Drosophila melanogaster: one gene and its partner. The gene in region 2 interacts genetically with the main gene of each other region. Each region holds a gene or a part of one and is shown on either strand. Other genes may lie near its edges.

What was found.
Region 1: of Rbsn-5 (region 2) and osk, changing one enhances a phenotype caused by changing the other (phenotypic enhancement), as found in Drosophila melanogaster (one study listed by BioGRID).

Annotation. Positions count from the first base shown.
Region 1 is NT_033777.3:8,933,085-8,938,975, reverse strand, and holds osk (oskar), read right to left. Parts: upstream 3,851-5,891; 5' UTR 3,831-3,850; coding exon 3,296-3,830; intron 3,261-3,295; exon of another isoform or gene 3,177-3,260; intron 3,048-3,176; coding exon 2,630-3,047; intron 2,535-2,629; coding exon 1,770-2,534; intron 1,712-1,769; coding exon 1,609-1,711; 3' UTR 581-1,608; downstream 1-580. Other genes in the region: ScsbetaA (Succinyl-coenzyme A synthetase beta subunit, ADP-forming), read right to left, coding at 88-156. UniProt on the Drosophila melanogaster protein: Organizes the germ plasm and directs localization of the posterior determinant nanos. Oskar protein is required to keep nanos (nos) RNA and staufen protein at the posterior pole.
Region 2 is NT_033779.5:8,158,050-8,162,404, reverse strand, and holds Rbsn-5 (Rabenosyn-5), read right to left. Parts: upstream 2,574-4,355; 5' UTR 2,314-2,573; coding exon 1,647-2,313; intron 1,589-1,646; coding exon 978-1,588; intron 913-977; coding exon 673-912; 3' UTR 605-672; downstream 1-604. Other genes in the region: Acbp1 (Acyl-CoA binding protein 1), read left to right, coding at 80-94, 168-282, 342-484; CG43394 (uncharacterized protein), read right to left, coding at 3,694-4,161, 4,226-4,355; PAPLA1 (phosphatidic acid phospholipase A1), read left to right, coding at 2,973-3,186.

The DNA of each region.
Region 1 (5,891 bases), on a different chromosome or scaffold from region 2:
TTCACTCTCTCTTTTCGCCTTATTATGTAAAGCGACGGATTTTCGCATTTTTTACACACAAATATGACTACTAATTGGCGAACTCACCTTTTTTATGGCCGCTGGCCTAACGGTTTCGATCAGGGGGCCGCCAGTTCGTGCCAAGAATGAAGCCATTTTGTTCTGAAATCGAATGAGAACGTACGTTTAACGATTTGAAAGCGAATTTTGACGTTACTGCTTACATTTCAAGATTTTTTTGCCGTCGCCTGCTGATGGAGGTGGTAGAGCTTCGATAGCAGGGACTTTTTTATGCTTTTACAATCGAAAATGCCGAAAAACTATCGTGAACTTAATGCAAGGTTGGAAACTGTAATATATTAGCAAAGATTCAAGCCAATTTGGCGGGAACTTTTAATATTGCATGCCATCTAAATTATTTTTCAACTACCGTTATTTTTATGATAATAATAAATTCGCAAATATAATAATATATTCACAAATGTCACAATATAATCTAGACCACTTTTAAATCGAAATTAGTTCGATTAGTTCCCAGTTACTTTGAACATAGCTTAGAGCAAACAAAATCATTGATTTCCCTTTTATTTTATTTTTTCATTTTTTTTTTGGATTTTACATTGCAGCTTGTTATAGGACAAAAAAAACGTGATCACCATCAATACATACAATTAACATACATTCAAGACAATAAATAAGTTTATAAATAGTAGATAGCTATCTAGAAGACTTTAAAGTAGAGCTGTAAATTACGCCAGAATTCTACACTGTGCTACAAACAAGCGCTTAGTGCGCACTTCCGGTTGGCGTGTCTGCAGCAGAGTGTAAGCATTTTATAAACTTTTTTGCAAACGGAAACAGAAAGACGAAAATCGCGCAAATGCTTCACTTGAATTTGCTTGAGCACATCAATAATAAATCAGCCGCGGCGTTGATTTTGTGCAAGCGAATTTTCCAAGTAAAGCAGTGCATTTTCATTACGGCCAAAATGCAGCATGGCTCATATGTATACGTACCACGCCCACTGCGCCCTTCTTTTTAAGGGCAAGTGGCAGGTTGTGTGATACAGGAGCATGCCGAATTTTGACCCACACAAAAGTATATAGAACAAAAAACAGTTTATAAGCATTGCAATGATTTGCATTTAAGTTCCATTTTGCAGTTTAATCTGATTTGGTAAAAACAGATTTCAAAGCAAAATGGTTTTGGGAAAAGCGGAAAAGTTTGAAGAGAAGTTTTCAGCTGCTTGCGCTTATTTTGCATTTGATTATTTTACACAGCTTTTGGGATAGCAGCAAAAAGTGTGCAGAAAATCAATGGCATTGGCAAAACAAATCACAGACAGCGAAAAATTGAGAAGTTTAAATCTAACATAGAACACAAAACACACAATAATATACAATAATGGACTAGGACAAGTGCACGAACATATAAATAAACAAAGACAGAGAACATACTACATATAAAACATATTAAAACTAAGCGAATTCCGTAAAAGCAGCGATCCATCAGCGTAAATCGTAAAATCATCAAAAAGTTCTTATTTTGTCGGTTCCGGTGCCAGCCCAGTCAAAATTTGCATATATGTATCTTGATTAAGAACCCAACTTAATACTCCAGACTCGTTTCAATAACTTGCAGTACGCGCTGCCGACCGATTTTGTTCCAGAACAGATAGGGTTCCTTGGAACCGGTGACTTGGCGTGGTGAGCTGAAAAGTGGCACAAATCGTAAACTCATATGATATGGTATATGGTATAAAGTCTTACGCCTGAAAGCAATCAAATCGCACCACGCCCCTTTCGTTGATTAGACAGGAGTGTATGTCGATGACCTTTAGGTGACAGCATTCGCTTCGGATAAACTTGTTGAATCGGTAGATTTTGTCACATAATACCTTATCGTGACAATAGTTGCCCAGCGGTGCAAGATTTGTTAGAATCGGCACCAATCGCATATTGTGCATCTCCTTGATCAGTAGCCGAAAATCGTGCTCGATCTGAACCAAAGGCTTGCCGCGCATAATGTCCACCGATCCGATATTGACGATGATCTGAGTACCCTCGGGTAATTGGACTCTTTTTAAACGATTTCGGGCGCCATTGATCGTCAGTCCGGATACACAAAGTCCTGACTGCAGGACGCGTTCGTGACGCCTAAATCGGCATTTTAGCTCCATTCGGGCGAGATATAGCATAAAATCATCGCCCATAAGCGGAAAGTCCAGCAGATAGGCATCGTAATCCGAGTTAATCGTCAGCAGAGAATCGTTGTAGGTTCCACTGGTTAAAATCGTTGGCGTGGGCGTCATTTCGTGGCGTCTCTTCATTATGTTCATGCCGTTAAATGGATGCACAAAGATGCCCAAATGGCGGTTTTCAGTCGGTTCGGTTTTCTGGCTTTGGGTTCTGCAGCTTGGCTGATGCCCAGGTGGAGCCAAATTGATTGGTTCCTCTGGGGCATCGGGGCTGTAGATGTTGATGGGTACTGGCATTTTTGGCGCATTTACGCTGGCTTGCTGGTAGAAATTGTTGCTAGGAGTTCAGTAGAAAGATTAGTACATTTTGTTAAGTAAAGGTTTATTTTTGCTATAGTTGCACTGTCTACAAAACACCTTTTCAGTACTCACAGATGCTTCCAATTATCCTGGTAGCACCAGTTCGACTCCGCTGCCTCATTGGCCATTTGATGCAGCGAAACCGGCCTGGTGGCGATATCCTTGGTCTTTTCATCCGTTATCTTGGGCACGGTCCTCGGGCTGGTGTTCAGCTGGGACAGAGCCCTCCGTTTGAAGGGATTCTTCCAGTAGCGTGGAGGTGCTCGTGGTATGTTCTCCAGGGACGGAGCTCCGCTGCTGTAGTCGCTGGTGCGCTCTTTCTGGTTGAGCACCATATCCAGGAGGTGACCGTTCTTCAGGCTCGCTTTCAGGTTGAAGATCCGCTTACCGGACTCGCTGCACTCAGCGGTCACATTGGGAATGGTCAGCAGGAAATCCGTCACGTTGTCGTGCAGTGGAAATGGATTGCCCGTCAGTTTTCGATATTCACCTGGCGAATTTCAATTATAGAATTATTTAAGGGTAATCTTACAAAAAAGAAACATAGAAAAAATATAAATTAAAATAAATATACTAAACTATAAAAGTTATATAATCCAAATAAAATTTAATAACCTACTAAAAATTTATACATTTTAGATTTCTAACTAAATATAGCCACTTAGAGAAAGTTCTGAAGTGTTTGATGAAGTCGAAACTTCTGGAAAGAAGAAAGCTTTCAAACATAAAGCTACTCACTCTTGATGCTCGATATCGTGATTCCATTCTGGGCGTGGCTCAGCAATATGGCGCGCACCTCACTATCTATATCGGGATATTCCTCGCGCACGGATATATAGTTGCTCTCGATGATGGTCATGTTGTTCTCGCTGGTGTTGCTGTTGCTGTTGTAGGTGATTTCCTTGGTGGAAATCTGAGTGGACGAGAAGAGTCTGGCTACGACTTGCAACTGCTGGCTGCTCTGCCGGCTGGTGAGTTCATGGGCCACCAATGGCACCTTCCACAACTCCGGCAATTCGGTTTTTCGCGCCGATTTGAAGATCTTCCGAAAGCGTTCGCCGCATGCGGAGAAATCGGACCTTACGAAGATCTGGTTGAGGCAGCTGGAGGAACTCTTGCGAAAGGAACCGGATGACTGGAGTTTATCGCGCAACTGCTGGAAACACGTGGTCACCCGCTTTTTCACGGACTTAAGATAATAGGTTTTGGCGGAAGTATTGGTGCTGGTATAACTGATCGGTTTGCTGGGGAATTCACTTGTGACTGCGGCCATCGCTTGGAGGAAAGTGATCCAATATTCTTGGATCCCTCGCCAACGCGGTCCACTTCTCCATTCATCTGCATTTTGGAGACTTACGGTGCTTTTCGTACTGGAAGGCGAAAGAGCAGGCGCAACAGAAGTAACGGTGAGCAGTTTGCAGAGATAATGTTTCCAGATCAACAGAATTTGTGAAAATACATTAGGGTGGTACAACCAAAAAATTTTGAAAAAATAAAAAACTGTTTTCAGAACCTAATATAGAACCTATATATATATATATATATTCATTTTCTTTAATTTTTTTATCAATTTGTTCCCATTCGCCCACCATTAGGTTAACATTCAAAGCAGTCTACGTAGCCAGTAAAAACAATTAAACGAAATTACCACCTGCATTGCCATTTGACGACCATTACACAAAGCAGTTTGCACTCCGTTCCAGCTGGACATTCGTTTTAATGGCCTTTCTCTTGGTCCAGATTAGAAAACAGCACGCCAGTGGGTCTGCAGAGCTGCTTGATAAGCAATTACGAAGTAGCATATACATAAATTCCAGAATAACTCAAATGGTGCCGACGAGCGTTACCACGTGCGGTGGTGCTCTGGTGGTCTGTCGGCTAATCGGCAAATGGAGCTGCTTGGCAGCAATTCCCCAGGAGATGATTATCCATCCATACAGCAAGTGCACCTGAAACTCCGAGAAGGGTAATGGAGGCACTTGCTCTGAGGGTTAGTCCAGCGATTGATGGATGACTCAGGGGCTTTCTTACATCTCGTGATGATTCCGGCACCCCGGAAGAAGCACAGACAATCGGAAGGAGGATTATGGCTTCTTAGCTTAAGCAAGTTGGATACAGTCAAACATCAGTAATGCGTACCAGCAAGAAATTACAAAAATTAAATCAGTAAAAATTTTACTTAACTAGCAGATCAGAATAATAAAAAAATAATTTTCAATAAGGTGTTGATGGGTTCAAAGGGTAATATATATAGAATGGGCAATAGTTAGTGCCACTACAACCTATCTGTAATTTAGGGAAGTACTTCCTTATAGATGTTGGACTGTATATTTTCCCTAGCCTTGCCTTAATTGCAGAGGATGCTGCAGAGACGTGACGAGCAATACAATACTATATGTATGTAGAAAAACTGGGCGAGAACATGTGGTCCAATTTATAAATCTCGACCCTTCTCCCATTTTTATTTGCTGAATGTGTAAGCCCAATAATTTAGAGTGGGATGAATCAGCCGGCTTTTCTTGCCATTCAATTTTCCCTTTTCGGGTGGTGTTTCAAATATTTTGAATGCACTCGCACAGCACAGGGCAATTGTCCGGTAATAATAGTAATTTGCATTCCAGGCCCTCTCTCATTCTCTCTACTCCCAGCTAAGAATTACAGTGGTCACTCGATTGTAAGGTAAGGAATTATACATATATTTATGGTATTTGGCAACCTTCCTTGTATTTCTATAAGCGTAATTGTAGGAAGTAACCACTGAAAAATAAATTTGTTTAATATTTTTAAAGACATTTTCCTACTCTCTTCCTTTCTAACAACTACTACCATGATTGACGACCATTTTTGATTGACAACTTTTGCATTTGCGTGTGGTGGGTGTGCATTGGAAATCGCAAAAAGCAATTTACCGCCTAGATTTGTGAACGACACTTTTCATTGGGTTCGACTGCATTTCTGCATAAATTATGGAAGCCGACGGAGCAACTTGTTGTTATTCTGTCTGCTGTCTTAGAATTTTTACCAGCAGCGAATTCATTTCGCAGAGGGCGGCTAAATGTTGGGGGATAGGCAAATTATTGTAATCAATTTATGCGAACAATTTAGCTATTGCCTCACTTTGGTGGGGCGGAGAGACACCTGTTAATCTGCTGACAGGCGGAAAATCTCAGGAATGCTGATTGCGTTGCACACGATTAACCAGAAGTTCACCCCAATGGCAACTGAATCTGATCGCCTTTCGGCGGCAGCTCCATCACTAATTTCCAGTAATTATCCTTATCCGTTTCCAGAGTCTGGCTTAACATCTGTTATTATTACTCCGCAGCAAATCGAT
Region 2 (4,355 bases):
GACGCCGATAGATTCGGTGAAGTAAAATCGTGCAATTTCTTTTCCAAAGACTTCCACTAGTTAAAAAATAGATACAAAAATGTCCGAATTGCAGGTGAACTGAATCTACGTCAAATACGCATTCGTATCTTAAAGTCTGATTACCTATTCAAACTTAACCTAAACAGGAATTCAACCAGGCGGCCGAAGATGTTAAGAACCTAAACACCACACCCGGGGACAATGACCTTTTGGAGCTCTACAGCTTGTACAAACAGGCCACTGTGGGGGATTGCAATACAGGTGGGTCTCGGACATAGTCGTCACTCCGCTGCACCATCGATAATTCTAATCCAATGCAGATAAGCCCGGCTTTCTGGACTTCAAGGGCAAGGCCAAGTGGGAGGCGTGGAACAACCGCAAGGGAATGAGCAATACCGACGCCCAGGCCGCCTACATTACCAAGGTCAAGGCACTGATCGCTGCCGTTGGCCTGAAGTCATAGACTCAATCGAAATAGGATGTTGCATTTTATAGTCTCAGTTGTCGTCAAACGCACAAACTTTGATTTACAGAAACTTCGCACAAACTAAAATTTTTCGCACAATATACACCACAAATTCGTAACGTAACGTAAGCCATGTAATTTGTCATAGAGGGAATGAATATACATTTAACTATGTAGGATACTGCTTAGGCCTCTGTGGGTGAGGCGGCGGTGCTTCCCTGGGACTGGCGCTGTCGCTCGTACACTTCGCGCTGTAGCTCGCGAAGATTTAGCTCCAGCGTCTCCACCACCTCAAAGTTCATGTCCTGGCGAGCCTGTTTGATGTAGCCCTTAATGATGTTTATCTGCTCGATCAGCGGATCGTCCAGGCTGGACTTGCTAGCCGCCTGCGGTGCTGACCAGTTGTTCAGAGATTGAAGATCAGACTGTGAAGCAAATGGAATCACAGAGGTTACATATTGATCTTTGCAGAGAGTCCTCGTCTACATACCCCTTGGGCAAAGGATCCGCTTTCCGGACCAGGAACTCCAACGTTGGATTGGTTAGCTGCCATGTTATTTCGTTCGTAGGCTTCCATGGCCATGCGCTGTTCGGTGAGGATACGCTGCTCCGTTTCCATGCGTCTACGCTCCTGCATCTGGCGTATGTGCGATTCCTCTGGCAGTGGGGGCAGCGATAACATTCGCTCCTTGATGGCTTGGATGCAGCCCAACCGAATGGCCTTCTTTAATGCCTCCTCCCGGCTGCCTGGTTCACAAAATATGGCTAGAATGCGCTTGCTCCTCATGTCCATGGCCTCTGCCACTTGTCCAATCTTGCCGCGCAAAGCACCTGCATCCGCCAACGTGAAGATTGTGTCCCCTTCGTTCAAGCTATTGATGATCTTTAGATACATGTCCAGATCCGGGGTAACTTCTTTTTGTAGTTGACGAATTTGTTCGTAGACCTGGACGAGGAGTGGGCGACAAGTGCGACTTTCGTGCATATCCTTTCGGGTGTCCAGCAGCCAAAGGCAGTGTTCGCACAGCCGGATGGCGTTCTCATGCTGATGCAGCTGCTGAAGGGGCTCGCTTCTTGTGGTGGAAAGACTGGCTAGTTGCACTGCGGGATTATAATCAAATAAGTTACATTATTTTCCTCAATTATTGGATCTACAAACTGGCATCTTCCAGGGGCAGGAACTTGGAGCAATCATTGCACATTATGCCTCCGCACAAACGGCAGTGGTGTTGTCTTCGGGCGATGTGGAAACTCTTGGCACAACTGGGACACAACTTGACGGAACTACCATCCAGCCAGGCAACTGTTTGCTGTTCATGCTGACGCCGCTGCACTGAATCCGCTGGCAGATCCTTAAGCAGGCGGTGCAAACGAATGATTAGTTTGTTTGTTTCGCTGGCATATCGCTCCAGGCGAGGATTGCGAATGGACTGAAAGTACTCGAAGTGGGAGCACTCAGCACCAGGCTGCTGCCTGGCCATATAGTTAAATACATTTAGACGGGAGCGGGCATTACTGGGTCCATTGCGATCTCCGTTGCCATTGGGATTCTTGCCAGCCGCTGAAGAGGAGGAACCTGCGGGCGACGATACAGATGCACCTTTTTCATCCTCAAAGGGGTTTAGGATCTTCTTTTTCGCCTTGGTAAAGATATCTTTAAAGGATTTTAGGGCATCCTCCTCTTCCGCATGCTGGCGGGCAAAATGATCCGTGAGCACATCGATGGACTTGAGATCCGCACGGCAAATGGGACATAGGAAGCCCTCTAGTATCTCTCCACTGGCCGAGCTTTGATCTTCGTCGCTGTCGAAAGGATTTCCAGACATTCCGGCGATGAGTAATCGTAGTTAATTCGGTGGGTGTTATTTGTTGTGGTCTCCTCCCCAAAAAAAATTGACCCTAAGGTTTTCCACTTGTTTTAAAACAGTGGCATGACGGGGCTTACGGCACTTGTAGTCCTAAACTCGATTAATACGGTCAGAGTTTCTACAAATCCATTAATTTTATTTAAAAACTAATATTTGCAGAAATCATCAAGATTTATCTACTTCACTCTTCTTCTTCCCAAATTGCAATTCGAAATAATATCCGAGAATTAGGGCTGCAGCAAAAGCAATATTTGGCTATTTTTGCTGTTTATTTGGATTTTTGAAAATTTGTTTATGGTAGTCACGGAGATTTCATACTCTTTCCCAGTTAAAACTAGCTAGGAATATATATGTTATAAGCATATTTTGATTACCAGCTTTTGCCTATCCATTTCTGGATCCGCTGCAGCCCTGGTAAAAGCTTTCCATGGCGAATGGCCAATGCGCGGAAAGAAGCAGAATATTGCCTGCCTGGAAGTTTTCTCGGGTTTAACGCTTTTAATCCGTCGTGGGTGTCAATATCCTGTGTATAAAAATAATTCCTAAGGCAACTGTGCACTTGGCACACATCTTCATATCGAGTTAGCCCAATTTAAAGCTCCAGATCGGCCGCTAATATGTCGGAAAGATCGAAAGGTGACGTGTCCGCTCGCGTAAACAACAACGCAAACCAGACGCGTGTCGTTAAAAATCCGCTTCTGAGCGCCTCCGTGACCGGCCTGAGTTTCGACGACTTCCCCAACAAGCCGCAGCTCCTGCCAGCCGCCCCGCCCGTGGTCCATGCCACGCCTCCAGCGGCGCCCGTCCTCATCGCTGGCATCTTGAATCGCGGTAAGTGGGTCACCGTACGTTCGTGAATCTAACGCGGAGTGGGGGTCACCTGTTGCTCGGCTGCTATAATGATAAGCTGATAAGCCTGGCAAGGCACTTGACCTTCTTACCCTCTTCATAAACTGGGGTTGACTTTATCACGGATCAAGTTAATATAAACTACTTTCAGTGTATAGAGGAATGGGTCAGGTCAGCACTTATTTTGGCTTAAACAAATATGTATACCTACTACTAGCTGAACAAATATATAGATATATTATAATAGTTTTCCTAAATAAGACATTAGTTAAGTCCATTTAATCGTTTGAAATCACCGACATTGTTTATACTACTTTTTTTAAGTTGCACTTCGTTTCAGTAGTTTATGCAGGGACAAACAATTGTATCCTAAATATTTGCATACATTTAGTAAAACGGTGCCATATTGTATATCTGGTACTTCTATGGCATTTTATTAGACTTCGAGACCACATAGGTTCTAACTTGGCACAATAACATAACAACAATCTACTCCATGCTCCTAGTGGAGTGGGATCTATATGTGGGCAGCTCCAGCGTTGTCTTCCTCCGTCTGCAACACCACACAATGCTCCATATGAGGGCTGCAATAAGCAGGATCAGGAGAATGACTCCAAGGCAAATGGCTGCAATGGCGGCCTCGTTCAAATACACATCTCTGACATCGATGGTGAGGCTTCTCTGGTTCCCGGCCGCATCGAAAGCGATGAGTGATACCTTTGGTTCGCAGCAAGAGGCCATGTAGGTTGCCTTCAGGGGCTCTGTGCTACCAGCAGTATAATAGTTTCTGTAGAAAAGACCCTCTGGCGGCGAGGCCTGCAAACGCATCATGCCTGACTGCCAGTCCTGAGCGGTCACATCCACAGTCCAAAAACGTTCACCACAATTCTGGGATTCGGGCGTCAGGTAATCACAGCGGCTGCCAAACTCCCAGGATAGTGTAGGTCCAGTTGAGTCCTGGAAATTATATTTAAACATTTCAATTATGCTTTCATAATCAGGTTATCGGCTGTTCACATACCTGAGCATCTATGCTAGTCACCACTTTAAGATTTACCGCCAGAGTAGATGTTTCGCGACCGTAATTGGTGAAGGTAATCCGGTCTGTGGTGCCCTGAGCTGTGCCAGTGGGCACCAGAACAGTCAGACGC